Linked DNA regions of Mus musculus: all the other regions are reported to be linked to region 1. The links are microRNA targets in miRTarBase. Many come from high-throughput screens and were not tested one by one. Region 1 holds a microRNA gene; each other region holds the end of a gene's coding sequence.

The links. The annotated mature microRNA mmu-miR-3057-3p reads UCCCACAGGCCCAGCUCAUAGC and lies in region 1 at 2,683-2,704, shown strand. An mRNA with a match to its seed (bases 2 to 7 or 8) in the 3' UTR can be bound and repressed. Matches are read on the target gene's strand: a 7mer-m8 pairs with bases 2 to 8, a 7mer-A1 pairs with bases 2 to 7 and ends in A, and an 8mer does both.
Region 2: miRTarBase lists Crkl as a target of mmu-miR-3057-3p. Seed matches in the 3' UTR shown: 7mer-m8 at 1,276-1,282 and 7mer-m8 at 2,081-2,087.
Region 3: the mRNA of Gda is a reported target of mmu-miR-3057-3p. Seed matches in the 3' UTR shown: 7mer-A1 at 1,824-1,830.
Region 4: miRTarBase lists Tshz3 as a target of mmu-miR-3057-3p. Seed matches in the 3' UTR shown: 8mer at 2,444-2,451 and 7mer-A1 at 2,391-2,397.

Annotation. Positions count from the first base shown.
Region 1 is chr10:81,268,972-81,273,037 of GRCm38, forward strand. Mir3057 (microRNA 3057) reads left to right here and starts at 2,626; the gene lies at 2,626-2,716. Apba3 (amyloid beta (A4) precursor protein-binding, family A, member 3) reads left to right here. Exons shown (of 11, transcript NM_018758.2): 2 at 1-490; 3 at 574-613; 4 at 1,997-2,142; 5 at 2,225-2,311; 6 at 2,394-2,555; 7 at 2,691-2,861; 8 at 3,214-3,426; 9 at 3,613-3,732; 10 at 3,851-3,988.
Region 2 is chr16:17,483,367-17,487,432 of GRCm38, forward strand. Crkl (v-crk avian sarcoma virus CT10 oncogene homolog-like) reads left to right here. Exons shown (of 3, transcript NM_007764.5): 3 at 295-4,066. The coding sequence ends at 429. Among named protein-coding and RNA genes, the nearest start is that of Aifm3, 6.5 kb to the right of the region's middle.
Region 3 is chr19:21,391,608-21,395,673 of GRCm38, forward strand. Gda (guanine deaminase) reads right to left here. Exons shown (of 14, transcript NM_010266.2): 14 at 1-3,651. The coding sequence ends at 3,581. Among named protein-coding and RNA genes, the nearest start is that of Gda, 79 kb to the right of the region's middle.
Region 4 is chr7:36,771,409-36,775,474 of GRCm38, reverse strand. Tshz3 (teashirt zinc finger family member 3) reads right to left here. Exons shown (of 2, transcript NM_172298.3): 2 at 1,922-4,066. The coding sequence ends at 3,642. Among named protein-coding and RNA genes, the nearest start is that of Gm36722, 75 kb to the right of the region's middle.

The DNA.
Region 1 (4,066 bases):
GCCCTCTGAGAACCACCCCTCTAACACCCAGTCGGCCTTAGGGCCTGGAGGCCCTGTCACCCTGAGTGAGATGGAGCTGGACACATCCAGTGTGCAGGAGCTGGTTCAGCAGCTAGAAGCTCTACCCAGCGACCTGGGTGGCCCATTCCCAGATGGAGCCCCCTGTCCCCTGCACATTGCTACCGGCCAAGGACTTGCCACCCAGGAGAACCCAGATGCTGGTGGGCTCTTGTCGGCCGAGGCAGGCGGGGACGACCTTCTGGGTCTGCTGAGGGATGAGGCCTCTTCGCCTGCCCAATCTGTCCCCCAAGATCCTGCACAGACTGCACCCCGCCTTCTGCAGCCGCCAGAGGACCCTGATGGGGACCCGGGATGGATGGAAGGGGCATCAGCAGAGCCAGCAGACAGCAGGAGCTCCAGCAGTTCCCCGGAGCCCTGGCTGGAGACAGCACCCCTGGTGACACAGCAGGAACCACCTGTGGGTACCCAGGTAATAGTGCTCGCCTCTCTGACCTCTGACTTCTGACCCTCAGCCATGACTGGGGACTCAGCCCTGCACCTCTTATCTTCCAGAGCCGGGAGACCCTGGCCTCGTGCCCTGCCGTCACCGAGGGTGAGTGTCCATTTTTACACAGAAATCAGAATGTCCTAGAACAGCCCAAAAATGGGCTCTCAAGTAATGACACAAAGTTTGCCAGTGATGATCAAGGTCTAGAGAGGACTGAATGAGAGCAGATCTTAGACGGCCAAAGAGGTGACATAAGCTGTAGAATGTTCTAGAAGCCATGCTGGTTTAGCACACTGGTTGACAGAGGATAGCTCCAGGCTGCTCTGGGGAGTTTTGAGAGCTAAAGATGGCATTTACAGGGCTGGCGAGATGGCTCAGTGGGTAAGAGCACTGACTGCTCTTCCAAAGGTCCTGAGTTCAAATCCCAGCAACCACATGGTGGCTCACAACCACCAGTAATGAGATCTGAATCCCTCTTCTGGTGTGTCTGAAGACAGCTACAGTGTACTTACTTATTATTATATATATAATACATATATATATGCATATATATGTATATATCTTTTTAAAAAAAGCCAAGCAGTGGTGGTACACGCCTTTAATCCCAGCACCTGGGAGGCAGAGGCAGGAGGATTTCTTAGTTTGAGGCCAGCCTGGTCTACAGAGAGAGTTCCAGGACAGCCAGGGCTATACAGAGAAACCCTGTCTCGAAAAAAAACAATAAATAAATAAATAAATATTCATGGGTGGGATTGTTTCAGGGCTATCGAGGACCCAGACTTTGAGACGCTCCAGGCTGACTGAAGAGAATTCTAGATCATCATGGATTTTTATCTTATTTCTTTTTCTTTTGGTTATTTTTGGTTTCTCTGTGTAGCCCTGGCTGTCCTGGAACTCACTCTGTAGACCAGGCTGGCCTTGAACTCAGAGATCCGCCTGCCTCTGCCTCCCAAGTGCTGGGATTAAAGGCGTGTGCCACCACGCCCGGCCTTGATCTTCTGTCTTTTTTTTTTGCATTTATCGAATATGGCAGAGGATCACTTGTGGGAGTTAGTTCTCTGCCCACCTTGTGGTATCCCAGGGATCAAACTCAGGGTATCTTACTTGGCTGAAAATGCCTTTACCCATTGAGCTAAATTGCTGGCCCTGCCCTGCCTGATTCCAGAATGTTAGGGACTCACGACACCACCGTGAGGCCCTGAGCTCTGACTCTTGGTCAGAAGGTTCTGGAAGAGGGGTCTTTGAGCCCTGCAACCTGTTTTGGGTCCATTCCTCCTGAGGGTGCCTCATAGTAGGGGTGACACTTCTTAGGATCCCTGAAAGTGGCAGGTACAGAGCTGGCCACCGCACACTGAGCCTCTGGAGTCTTCTAGTACAGGATCTTGTGCATGCTAAGCCGTGGACAGAACCATGAGTTTCTTGAGCAACAGCTCAGGGATTGGGGACCTCAGAGCCTGTAGAGGTCGCACCCCTCACTGTCATCTGCAGTCCCAGGTCCCTGTGGGCCGGAGGAGCTCATGGATGGTGTCATCTTCGGGGCGAAATACCTGGGCTCCACCCAGCTGCTGTCAGAGCGCAGCCCGGCGCCCAGCACACGCATGGGGCAGGCGCAGGAGGCCATGGACCGCGTCAAGGTGAGCCAGGGTGGAGTTCCTGGGCTGTTGGATTCCATGTCCCAACCACCTCTAACTTCTGTGTCCCCTTCCTACCCTGCAGGCCCCTGAAGGCGAGACCCAGCCCATGGTGGAAGTGGACATCTTTATCTCCACCAAGCGTGTCAAAGTGTTGGCTGCTGACTCCCAGGTACCCAGAGGGCTGGGCCTTGACTGTCGTGGACACTTGGGGTTCCTGAGAGGCCCCCAGCCCACCCAGCGCATGTCCACAGGATGCCCTGATGGACCATGCCCTGCAGACCATCTCCTACATCGCAGACATTGGGCCTGTACTGGTCTTGATGGCCCGGAGGCGGCTGGCCAGGAGGACAACTCCCCAGGACCGCCAGCGGCGACTCTACAAGATGCTGTGCCATGTCTTCCACTCAGAGGATGTGAGCAGCCGTGAGCTACGCCCCCTCCAGAGCATCTAAGAACCCTTGACTTAGAAACCTTGAGGTGTCCTGAAGGTGTGTGCATTGGAGCTGAGATTCTGCGGGATGGATTAGGAGTATATTGTCCTCCCACAGGCCCAGCTCATAGCACAAGCCATCGGCCAGGCCTTCAGCATCGCCTACAGCCAGTTCCTACAGGAGAACAGGATCGACCCCAGCCAGGTGGGCACGCAGCCCTCAACCGCTGCCAGCCACCCGCACAACGGCGACCTGGACCACTTCTGCAACAGCCAGAACTGTAGGGAGGTGAGTGCTTGCTCTGCCACAGCACACACAGAGCCACCCAAGGGACCATGGACCTATCCCCTGGCCTGCTGAGCCCACCCCACCGAGACCTGGCCCCATACTCCCTGGACACGGCCCCGCCCCCTTTGAGACCCCACCCCCTCCCTGAGCACACCCGCATTGGGCCTGATCCCACACTTCCCCTGAATGGGACCCTGCCCCCCTCCCCGAAGTTGAGCCCTCCCTACACCTGGCTTGGCTCTGCCTGCTCTATCTCTAAGTGCAGCTTCTCCCACACTGCCCCTGAATGTGGTCCTGCCCCTCCTGGGACCCCACCCCACACCCTGCCCCCTGAACTTGGTTCTGCTCCCAGGTTTGCATCCAGAAGCGGCCAGGTGAAGGCCTGGGCGTCGCGCTAGTTGAATCAGGCTGGGGCTCGCTACTGCCCACTGCGGTCATTGCCAACCTGCTCCATGGGGGCCCTGCCGAGCGCTGCGGGGCCCTGAGCATAGGGGACCGCGTCACTGCCATCAATGGAACCAGCCTGGTGGGGCTGTCGCTGGCTGCCTGCCAGGCTGCGGTGCGCGTGAGTCAAAGTTCTGTGGGCGGGGTTCCCAGGGGCCTTGTAGGGTGCATAGGAGCCCATTAACAGGGTCTCCTAAGTTAAGTGACTGTATGGTACCACTGATTGCATCCCCATGTTGCCTGGGAGATTGACGGGTGGGTAAACTGATGCCCGCAGAGGCCTGAGCAGCATGGTGGGTCCCCCCAGGAGGTGCGGCGACTTTCATCCGTGACGCTGAGTATTATCCACTGCCCACCGGTCACCACGGCCGTCATCCGCCGGCCCCACGTGCGCGAGCAGCTGGGCTTCTGTGTGGAGGATGGAATCGTGAGGCTGGGAACCCCCCCCCCCTAGGCCGGGTGTGGGGAATGGGCTAGCATACAGCCTAGGGAGTGGAGGCTAGCCTATAGCCTAGGGGCAGGTCCTGAGAGTTGTCCCCCCTCAGATTTGTAGCCTGCTGCGTGGGGGCGCTGCTGAGCGTGGTGGAGTCCGCGTTGGACACCGCATCATTGAGGTCAACGGGCAGAGCGTGGTGGCTATGCCCCATGCGCGCATCATCCAGCTGCTCACAGAGACAAGAGAAGTGCGTGGGAGTCACCTGACCCCGTCACCCCTGATCCTGTCCTACCCAAACCAACCCCGTCTACCTGACTCTTCATCT
Region 2 (4,066 bases), not on the chromosome of region 1:
AGGTATGTGCCACCAGTCCGCACTTCTTACCCTTTTATTCAGCTTAACATGCACGTTCTTAGAGTTGGATGCTCATACATGTCCATTTATTAGTAACGCTGGAGGGAGTGGCTGCTCTGTGTTCAGAGGCTGCTTCCTGAGTTTTTGCCAGCGACAGGTATCCTGGGTGGTTGGTGGCATCTCGTGTCTTTGTACTACTTGATTTTTGTATAGACAGTGTTTGTGATTTAATGTAAACTGTCTTCCTTGTTTGTAGTGATGCTAATTTTGTTTTCTTTCCCTCTTCCCTTACAGGTTGGTGACATTGTGAAAGTCACAAGGATGAATATCAATGGCCAATGGGAAGGCGAGGTGAATGGGCGCAAGGGGCTTTTCCCCTTCACACATGTTAAAATCTTTGACCCTCAGAACCCCGATGACAACGAGTGATTGCTGTGCTGTCCCTGCTGCTGCCTCCTTCTGCCTGTCAGTCTCCTTTGAAGTGGGAAGCACTCTGTCACATGCAAGTTACACCGAGCTGCTGGCGGTCAGCTTTCCATACATTGGCAGTCCCTGCACATACGGAATGCCTCAGCAGCTGCCTTGCTCGCTGGCTCGGCATTTGTATCATAGTCATGCTGTCAAAGAGTAGCTGATTTAGAGTTCTTGTGGATTGTGAACTGGAAACACTGGTGGAAGCACACAGTAGAGACTGGAACCCAGAGCAGCTCTTCCTTCCCATCCATCACTGCCTTGTTTGTACTGGAGGCTGACAGAGAGAGCAAGCAAGCCTGCTGATGGTCTGCATGGAGACGGTGAGGCTTGGCAAGGTCTCGCTTTGCTGGTCCACAGAACAGTGGTTTTGCCACCAACTCAGTTTTCTTTGGACGACAGAGGAAGTAAAACTCCAGACAATTCTGTCCCGAACTCCTCAAGTCTGGCTGGTTTTCATTTTCTTTTGTTTAGTTTTGTTTTTTGGAAGACTAATTAATTATAGTTGTGTGTTCTGAACAGATTTTTAAATAGTAGGTTGGTCTATGATGGTCTAAGGAACAATCCATGTCTCTGAGCTTCCAAACTGAAGCCACTGTACGTAACTAAAATAGGAAAAGACCCCCTCCAGGGGCCTTTATCTTTTGGTTGCCACAGTACCTTGTTTACCATGTGGCAAACAGTGCACAGCAGCAGTCATGGTGTACCTTGCTGTGAAGCACCAAGGTGGGGGTGGGCCTGCTGTCATCGCTGCCTCTGACAGGAGCAGACAGGGTGGGCCTCTTCAGTGAAAACGTTTGAAGTCTGTGGGCTTACTAGATCCGTGAGTTAAATTGCATTGCTGTGTTCCACCACAGAGGCCACCCAGCCCTTCCTGTACTGACCTAGCTTGTCCAGGCAGCTTGAGAGTGGTGTCTGTTCTGGTTCCACAGCCTGAGTAGAACCAGAATACAGTGCTTCTGAGCAAAAGAAGACGCCCCTCGATCATGAGCCATTTTTCCTTGCATGTCAGCTACTACAGATATGTGTCTGATCCCTCATCCACACATGGCAAACCAGAGCTCTAGAACCTTTCTAGAGTGCACTCTTTTCAGTTGGACCCTGATGAGGATACACCTCCACACAGAACGAACGTAGCAGACCTAGAGATGGAGTAGTGGCTAGTGAGCAGCTCTAGCATTTACAGAATATCTTCTGTAACCATGGCCCTGGTTCTGCAGGCCTGAGGCTTTGAGAACTAATGGAACATATTCAGGTGACAAAACCAACAAAACCCTTTGTCCACTATATTTATTTCTCTTAAAGACTTTAAATTTTTGTTTATGTTGGGCATGGTGGACACACCTTTAATCCCAGTACTCAGAAAGGCAAAGGCAAGTGGATCTCTGAGAGTTCAAGGCTATCCTGATCTATGTAGTGTGTCACAGGACAGGCAGGCCTACATACATACCTTGTATCAGAAGATGGCCCAATCCCCCCCTCAGACCTCCCCCCAAAAAAAACTGTATATGGGTGTTTCCACTACATGTATGTATGTGTATCACATGGGTAGTTTGTTAGGAGGCCAGAAAAGGGTGTTGGTTGGATCCTCTGGAACTGTGGAGTTACTCTGTGGGTTCTAGGAATTGAACCTGGGTCCTCTGCAAGAAGACCTTAACCACTGAGCCATTTCTTGAGCCCCATTAGTTTCTCTTTAAATCAGTAGTCCATCAGGCTAAGTTCTATAGTAAAGAATGTTCATGTGACAAAGTAATGGTCATTTGGGGTATGGGGAGTGTCACGTCTGTAGAGGTTACTTCTTTTTGTCTCTGAAAGCTGCCATTTCTAGCCAGACCTATTGAGTGGACTTAAGTGTTCAGGCCCCAGACTCTGCCTAAATCAAGATTTAAGACTTGCCTTCTGGCCAGTTACACAGTTTAGCCCCAGGCCTTTGATGTCTCCACTGGAATACACACCTTGTTCACTGAGGGCACAACCCCCAAGGGATACCCCATCACTGGGGCCTGAACCTCATGCCTTACACGTGCTAGATAACCGGCTGCCAGTAAGCTTTTGAAATCCGAGATGGGATCTCTATAAATTGCCCATGCTGGCTTCAAGATTTCCATCCCAGCCTCAGCTGAAATTATAAAGGTTTGAGTCACCACACCCAGCTCTTAAGGTCTTTTAAAACTACATTTAACTGAAGGGCTTGGTGCCTTTTGATTATAGCACCTTGCTTAGCATAAACAGCCATTTTTGAGAACAGGGTTTCCCTTTTCCCAAGACTGTTGACCAGCAAGACTCTAAGGAATACTTCATGATCAGAATGTCCCATAACCCTGGAGTTTGCTTTATGTAATCAGTTAATTTGGCACATGTAAATGTCTATGCAGCTTCCTCAGAGATCCAGATCTCAAAATAAAGACTTAACTTTCTGAACTCTCAGGATACGTGCGTGCGTGCCAACAATAGTAATTCTCTGACTTAGAAGCTCATCGATTTTTAATCATGGAAATCTCTCTCACTGATAGAAAGCAGCATCTTCCCCAAGTCCCACTCTTCTGGGAAGACCCTTGGTTTCAGGGGAGTACGATGGAGGCTTCCTTTTCTCATCATCAGTGCTGTGTGGTCTGCTCTGCCATGTTGTAGAAAGTACTGGGATGATAAACCCACTTGCTATGGCTGTTGTATCTGAGAAGGAAACAATTAGGTAGTTGAGGGCTTTAAGGGCTAGTTAGTCCTGGGTGACAGCCCCCCACCTCCACCTCCAACCCCATACAGAAGGCATGCTTGTCACTCTGCACTGCTCTGATGCCACCTGTTTCGAGGTTGACAGGGTGTCCTGGCTTTTGTCATCCAGACGTAACCCTCTGTGCTCACTGGAAGAGACTCTGCCCTCTTTTCAAGTTGCACGATCCTGGCACTGTGCCAGCCTTCCTCTACAGCTGTTTACAGACAAGATGGGCCAAGACTGATGGCCACTGCTCTTGTAACCTTTACTCAAAAGAATAATGAGCATTTAAAAAAAAAAAAAGGGATGATGTGTTTTTGTTCCAGGTGTTCATAATTTAATCTTTTAATATTATGTTCATTAACCTCTTAAAATGAGTGAATTCTTGATTGTTTTAACACAGTACCTAAGACTAATGCTTTCTGTGGACTCCTCACTCTGGAACCAGTGAACCCCTCCCTGGTTAACTGCTGTGAGCGTGGACGCTGAGCTGCTTGTATATTCTGAAGGAGCAGGAGGACAGTTCTGAGACAGGAGGACAGTGGCCTTGCTTCTAGACGGTCTTCACTGTGTGTTTTAAAATGACATAAAACTCTTTTGACGTGTATAACTTAAAGAACATAAGCATCAGGCAATAATATTTTCTGTGTAAGCTTTTAAAATTATTTTTGGGGATCATAGCTTGTTTTATTTTGTGCTATAAAATTAACAGTATTAAATGACTTATATTCTTAGAATACATTGAGTGTCTTTTCTTAACAGATTAGTGCCTTTTTATTTTTGTATTCCATTTTGCGTTACTGGTCCCAGCATCAAAACCCTTGTTTCCATGGCCTGTTTGTACATTGTCTCAATAAAACTTGCACCAGCCGGCGTGGCAGC
Region 3 (4,066 bases), not on the chromosome of region 1:
TTCCTCATTGACTTTCTTGACATTGCATTTCACTAAACATGGACTAGGCCCACAACACTGCATCTCAGTGCTGGAGATGGGCAGGAAGGTGGGGTAGACTTTAAAACATGCGTGGTAACGAATATCAAGAGTTTTCTCTCAGTGACCTCTCCCCTGTCTGCTTCTTCCCACGACATTATAAAGTGTATTGTGCAAAATCATACATGCAGCAGCTAGGAGATTAGAAATGGCAAACATCTCTTTTTGGTCTTTTAATTTTTTTTAATGTATCATAGAGTCCCTGTAATTTAAGATTTATTTTGAGTCATTGCCCAGGATACATGTCTCCTTCTACCTGTTAACAGCTAAGATGACTCTTTTCAAATATTTGAATAGTCCAGCAACAGCAACCTTAAAAGATGTCCACTAGGCTGCAGAAGCACGGAGTTCTGGGTATCTTCCACATATGCACACTGATGGAACGGGTACAATGTGCATCCCAGTGTGCCTGGAAGGCTTCTCATGTGTCTGCTTCCAAAGGGAAAGAGCTTAAAAATAGAAATTATCTGGTAGAGAGTGAAGATTTAGAACATATTGCCAGATCTGGCACTCATGTTGCCTCTGTTTGCTTTGGGGGATATTTGAGGGCATACCTCAAAATCAGCAAAGCAATGAAGAGGTTTTTTTTTTTTTTTTATCATTTCCTTTCATTTGTCTTGAAATGTTTTTCACTAAAGAAGCAAAGAAATGCAGTGTTCACAGGATTCATTTAGAAAGGCCCCCTCCTGGCATACCCTCTGGGACTGTGAAGTCTTTGACAGTGTAAGTAAAGAACCAGGTAAGATAACACAACAGAGGAATCCAGCCCCTTTGGCCCTGTAGATAAGGATGACTTCTTAGGTTCTAACCTCTTATTTTTAATGCCCCTGATCCCTCCCTGCCTTTTTGTTTTTTTAAATCAAATTCAACTTGGTTAGTCTACTTTTGTGTTTTGGCTGCAAGAATATGTTATAAATATAACACACATGATAACTTTTAATGCCTTCTAACCTTTTACAATGAAGTCCATCAAAAACTCTAAAGAAATTATTCAAATGGTATGGAATAGGCAGGACAACCTTCCTTCCTTCCTTCCTTCCTTCCTTCCTTCCTTCCTTCCTTCCTTCCTTCTCCCCCTTCCTCTCTCCCTCCCTCCCATCCCCTCTCTCTCTGTTTCTCTTTTCCTTTCTTCTACAGAGAGCAAACCATTCAAACATAAAGTGACAACTGGGATAGGCTTGGAACAGTGCCTATCCATAATTAGGAAAGTCAACCTACGTTATTAGGTGAGCGCAGCATTTCCAAGTGCAGGATATCTGGCCCTATGTGTGGGACACTCAAACAAGCATAGGTAACATTCATGAACACTTCACTTGGGGAACTAAAACACATATAAGTGCAGGGAGATCAAAGTACTCAAAGTACATGTAAACACTTCAACACCTTATTTTTATTAGAAGTAATTCAACTGGCAGCACATTATCAGGACTAATCTGAATCTCAACAGGATGGTGTTACATTACCACTGCTATTCCTGCTTCCAGAATTACATTTGCCTATATTACTGCATGTGAGTCTTAAGTTTAAATAAAAGCTGATGTTCAACATCAAAATGCACACCCTTCAAGAGGACAAGTGTGGGGTCTGTAAACCCTTTGGCAAGAGTCAAAACAGACAGCCTAAACAGTTGCCAGCCTCAGAGAGAAATGGGAGAGGGGAATCTGGCAGCTCATTTTGATATTTCTGATGTGCTAGCAATGCTGGACATGCAGACTAAAGCCAGGGGTTGGATTTACTCACCGATATCCCACAAAACAAATTCTCTCTCTCTCTCTCTCTCTCTCTCTCTCTCTCTCTCTCTCTCTCTCTCTCTCTCTCTCTCTTTCTCTCTCAAAATAAAACAAAGTACGACCTAAATGTGTACCATCTTGAGATATAATGTATACACACCAGATCTAAAAGTGCTTCTACCAGGAAAATAGATCTGGACAAGTTACTGCTGAGTTAGCATAGAGAACAGAAGAACTGTGTGTTCTTAGATGTGAGAACTAACTACTGCCTAATGGGTTTCTCTGTTATAAGATACAATGGAAACTCACCTAAACCCTAGGAGTGAAATATATGTTAATAAAACCTGTTCCTGGCCCTTGCTTGTTTATAGGAGGTGGAATTAATTAAGAAAAATGTAGTATTTAAGTAGAATACACATCACTGTTTCCTAAAGCTCTGCCACGTGGTTATGACCTGGTTTTAGTTCTAATATGAGAAGGGACACCATATACGTTAGAAAAGCTAAAAGGCCCTCTTTTGTTTAATATTCCTTGATGTCTAGTACAGGTAAGTCCTAGAAATATAAACATTAGATGGAATTTTTATATCCTTTTCACTATTCTAAGATTTTAATGCCAGAAAAATCTTCAAGAATTACAATGACAATTTGGTAAATTAAAACAAACGAACAAACAAACAAACACACACAGAGCTCTTTCAGTATACTGGCCTTGCAGAGCCTTATCCATAATGCTTTAGGGACTTGCACTTGGCTTTTAAGTTCTAGCACATTGATAGGAGGGTGAACTGTACAGCAATGATTATGCGTTGGGTAGATTCAGCATTGCAAAGAACCCTGTCCCCTCAGTGTCACCAACTCCGGGGAATATAGTACTTCCCCGATTTATGAAAACTCCAGTCTACAGAGCAGCAACACACAGGGCTTGTTTCTCATCTAATAAAACAGAAGCAACTGGAACACCTCACAGCCAGGAATCAAGATGACTTTGAAGTACACACACACACAAAAAAACACAACTATTTATGCCTTGCGGCTATGTGAATACTATCCCTAAGAGACTTTAAATCTTTAATACTCAACTTCTGCCGAACACTTTGAAGCATAGAACTATATTTGAAAAGCGTGTGGCATTCAGGTTCTGACATTCATCCCAAGAAGGGAAAGCATAACAATAACACATCCTGAAATGCAAATTTCACAAAGTGCAAATGTCCATAGACAATGTCGATCTAGAAGCATGTTTTAAATCCAGTAGGTTCTCCTTTTACGAGACTGTTCTCTATATTAAATTTCCAAGCACAACCAATGACTTTTCCAATGTCTTTTCAATGTCTAGCTTGTGCCCTCTCATAAAAATCTGCTCATTGGTCCATACTGGAGTTTCCTAATTTTCTTAGTCATTAGCACAGAGTGTCTAGCCACATAGGGAGATCTCCTCGTCCTGTATTTCCCTATATGGAAACGTTTTACTTCACTATTGGAAGCGCATTGCCAGCTGTTAACAATGTCTTCTGTGCGAGCACAATGCAAATCTAAACAGCCCAATGGGAGGCACTGTCATGAAATTACAATGCTCCCAGACTGGAGTGGAGAAGCAGCGCACTCCCTTCAAACAATTTACCAAGTGGGCACTGGAAGGAGACACAGGAACAGAAGTCATCCAAAGAACACGGTACTTTTTTGTAAATATACTTTCTGATTGGTCCCTGGGCACAAGGAAGATGGCGGAATCATGTCTTCCCAGGAGAATGTCGCAGATGTCCAAGGTCCTTACACTGAGCTGGAGAATGGAACGACCTGCTTTCCACCCACATAAACCTCCTCAATATTTCGGTCGTCTCCTGAAATTAAAACCAAAGAATCATTTGTACTGTGCTTTTTTTTTTTGGGGGGGGGGGTCAATGATTGCCTTAGTTTCCTTTAGATTTTAAGAAAGAAAAATAAAAACCTTTAAAAGAAGAAACACAAGCCCCCAAAGGTAGAAACTTTATTCCTCCCAGATCATTTACAGTCTCCTGGAGATGACTTGGTCAAGACATCCTAGCCAGTTGAGAATTGGGGTCTCCATTCTGTATCGGAGGCGAAAATCATAGGTAGCTCAATAATCTCCCATCGCTGACCTTTCTGCTGAAGGGGCTGGCTGGCATTTCCAGGCCTGGGTGAGAGGACATACTATATACTATCTATACCCCCAGCATCACCCTCAGCACGTTGAAATGAGCAACCTGGAGATGTGGCCTGGCAAAGCTTACCATC
Region 4 (4,066 bases), not on the chromosome of region 1:
GGTTGAGGTCAGGGTCACCTGCGCACCTGTGATTAAAGCCCCCTCCCTCTGTGAATCCACCATCCCTCCAAGAGCCATTTGCAGGCCTCCTTGGACACCAATCTCACCATTTACTCTCCTTCTCTGTTCACATCAGCCATAGACTAAGTGGTCAACAGTAGACTTGGTATTTCCTCTGGATGGTCCTTCTTGATTTGGGGCCCTAACGGGCTATGATCTGGTAGTATTCTTGCATATTGCCTACCCTGTTGCAAGGCGAGGGTTTAGTGGTTTAGAGGAAAGTGGTCCACTTCCCAATGCTAAGAAGACTCTCTTTTACAAAGAGGTTTGCATTCAATAGCTCTCCTTACTAATACTTCCCTGGGGGTAGAATTAATTTAGGGTTTCCATTAGTACCAGCAGGCTGAGTCCAAGGCACAACTGAGTGTGTAACTCACTACCCACCTTGGCTATCAATCTCCATGTCTCCCCCCAAATTGAACAGCCCTGATAATAATCCTGGGGGAGGGGGAGGAGGATTTCTCAGAGTGTTGGGTCCTTCTCAACTGTGAAGAGGGGGGCTCCACCATCACTCACACAAATCCCCTCTCCCTTCAAGCCACATGGGCCCTGGTGATGACGAGAGTGTTGTCAGTTTAATCTGTTAGATGCAGGACTTTGGATTCTAATAAACCGATGCTATATTTAACCTGTGAAAAATTCAAGAGTGGAAATCTGGGCTTCAGGATGCAAAGATGCAGAAAGCACAGCGGGGAGGGGGGGTCTCTGTCTCCTGAGCCAGGTTCTAGGACGGTAGCAGGTATCCTGGTAGAATATAACAACCCTCAGCTTCCTCCGGGTAGAGGGCCTTAGAGAGAAAGACATGGGTTGATCACACTGGAGGCAGAGAGCAGGGCAGACCTTGGACCCAGAGGCCGACAATCCTGAGGCTGTGCCTTACCTGTGTGCCCCAAGTCACAAGGCTGGAGTAGAGTCCCTGTGTCACTACCTGCCAGACACCCATTTTAAACTCCAGCAGAGTTCTTTCCAAAACCAGAGAGAGGGAGGGGGGGATTGCTAAGAAAACAGAGTAGATGGCACATTTGGACTTGTCTTGACAAAAAGGGGTGGGGAGAGGGAAAAACCCGTAGGCGTGTTGCCGAACATTTTTGAAAGGGCTTAATTTAAATTTTTAATAAAAGAGTATCTTTTCTTCCTTCAAGTTGAGGTGTTTTATGTATTACATGGGTGTATCGCATCTCTCATTTGTATAATTCTAGGTTAGGAGCTCTGGTTCTGCCTAACTGCAAGACTAGCTTCAATATAGTAATAAAGGTATTTTACAGTTCTACATGATGTTCTCAGCATTTTGTTGGAGTGATTTGCCAGGGCCAATAAAAGCTTGTGATTATCATATAAATGCTTCCTTCCTACTCCTCTCCCCTTCCCCCTACCTACCCCCCACCCCTGCCATGGATGGGTCCGAACTCCTCCCAATCCCTACCCAACCTGGTTGTCTCTGCTTGCTTTAACTTGGGAAGAACAGATGACCCCTAAGTCTGAATACGTGGGTCCTCTCTACTTTCCCCTTGGAAAATCTTAAGTTAGCAAGAATGAGCCATTATGTACAGAGTCTTCTTAAGACCCTTCAGCCCAGGAACACTATGGGGCATCCAGAAAGGACACCAGAGCCACCCAGGAGAGGTATCCAGCGTGACCTGACTGAGGCTCTGACAGTGGAGACTTTATTACGACATTCCTTGCCCACAGGGGTTTAGCCTCATGTGCATCTCTGATGTCTTTCCAATTTTTATTCCTGAGGGAAATGCTATACAAGCCTCCGAGAGTTCTTTATAAACACCAAAGTTCACTAAAACTCCCCCTGATTTACGCGCAGCCTCCAACTGCCAGCACCTGGCAGACACAGCAACCGAGTCAGTCATAAACAGATCGCATACAATTTAATTTTAATGTGCTCGTTAGTCGTAGCACATCTCAGACATAATTGTGAACGCAACACAAAATTATAGCAAAAAGACAATTTTAATGCTGCCGTAGAAAAAAAGGGTTATATGAAGAGTCACATCATGGTGTGCCATCGTCAACAACAAAACAGGGCACAGAGTGTGTCACGGTGTCTGTGGTGTTTACATGCCAATATTTTATACATAGGTTCTCATATGGTGTCAGCTGTCAGTTATTTCTGCAAATTAACTGCCAGAAATGGAGACAAGAATGGCTTGGAGAGCCGGTTACCACGGGTTACCTTTCATAAGCCTAAAGATAAAACTGCAGTGTGGGATCTTGGGAGAATAATTAGGAGGAACAAAACAAAGTTACCGATTGAAATTAAAAAAAAAAAAAAAGAAAGAAAGAAAGAAAAGAAAAGAAAAAAGAGAAAGGGAAAAAAATCCCACATTATGAACTAGCAACCGAGAGGGCTTATAAATAAGTGAAGGGGCTGTCCCACAGAACGACTCTTGACTTTTAAGCAAAGGATTACAGTACAAACATTTTAAAGGCTTTATCAATGTTCAGGAAATACAGTACAAGTTGGGTTTTTTTTTTTAATCTTTTTTTTTCCTTTTCGAATAGACTTAACCCTTTGAGCACTGAGTTTACTTTGAGCATCCTTTAATTTCTAATAAATACCTTTAAGAACCATGTGCAAAATAGTTATGATGCCTGCCAGGGATGGATTTCCTGACCTCAAAACAAATGATAATAGAATGCTAATAAATATGTATAATTTAAACATGAACCCTCTATCAATATAGATGTGCCGTATAGCAAAACAAACATCATACCTTGCTTTGAGATAATGCTTCTGTATATTTTATAAATGCTATCTGTGGTATTTTCTGTATAATTTACAATGTTTGCATGTAAAAAAAAAACCATAAACCTTAAAAAAAAAGAAAAAGATAAGGAAATATACACTATACAGAGGCATGGCTTGTGCCCAGAGTATAGCAGATACATAAAACACTTGTTATAAATGCAAGAAAGAAAGGGTCATTTAACCAGTCACATTTTCCCATAAGAGTTTGAAATCTATACAATATATACATCTATGTTTCAATGTGAAAATAATATTCTTTTAAATTTCAAGGCGTGTCATACCCCTGCATAAATGGAGGTTCCTAATATTCCTTATAACTAAGCTGGTAACGAGTTTTAAAAACAGAGTTTCATACATTATTATTATTCATTATTATTTTGTTTTATTATTATCTTTTTTTTATTAACCAAATTAATGCAAAAGTGCTTCGTAGTACTCAGAGGGCTAAAGATGAAAGGGTGGGAAATGCCAGCACACCCAAGTCTCATGGAAAAAGTGTGCCTGGTTTCCTTATAAATGCTTAATTAAACCGTCTGTTAATGCATGCAGCTTGAAGCATCGAGGGGATGCTCACAATTAAATCCCATTTACACAAAGTTCCAAACACTTAGCACTGCGTTTTAACCTTCGTTATTTTACCAGTAACAACAGCTGATTATATGCACCTCTCTATTAAACACTGTACAGTTAGACCGAACAGTCCAGCCCAGAACAATCCTCTGCAGTGAACATAAGAACGTGTGCCAAGAACAAGACAGAGAGGGGCTTTAAGGTGCCTTCAGCATTTTCTCCTCCAGTCATTTCCGCTCTGGAGCAAACGCTACTGCTTCTCCAATTCAGAAACGAACAGGAGGTGGTCTTCCGGTGATTTCCCGTGGGTTTTGCTAAGGTGAAGTTTAACAGCATGCTTGCTCGCAAAGGTCCGATTACAAAGTTTGCACTGGTAGGTGGTCCCCAGATCCTCCTCCGGGGAGGATGTCACCAGTTTTTCAGACGGCGACTTGGTTTGTGCTATTTGATTGTTAATCTGTTCGGTGGACAATTTTGATAAGTCCCGTAGCCGGAAGCCCAGATGTGACTCTAGGTGGCTGATGTACGTGGAAGGAGTCCTGATTTGTGACGCACAGTCGTTACAAAAGAACACTGGGTGTCCAGTGTCCAAGTTTTTGAGGAACTTTGTTCCACCTGTCCTTCGAAGTTGGTACTTCACATTGGCCAGCCAATGGCTGATGGTGGTCATGGAGA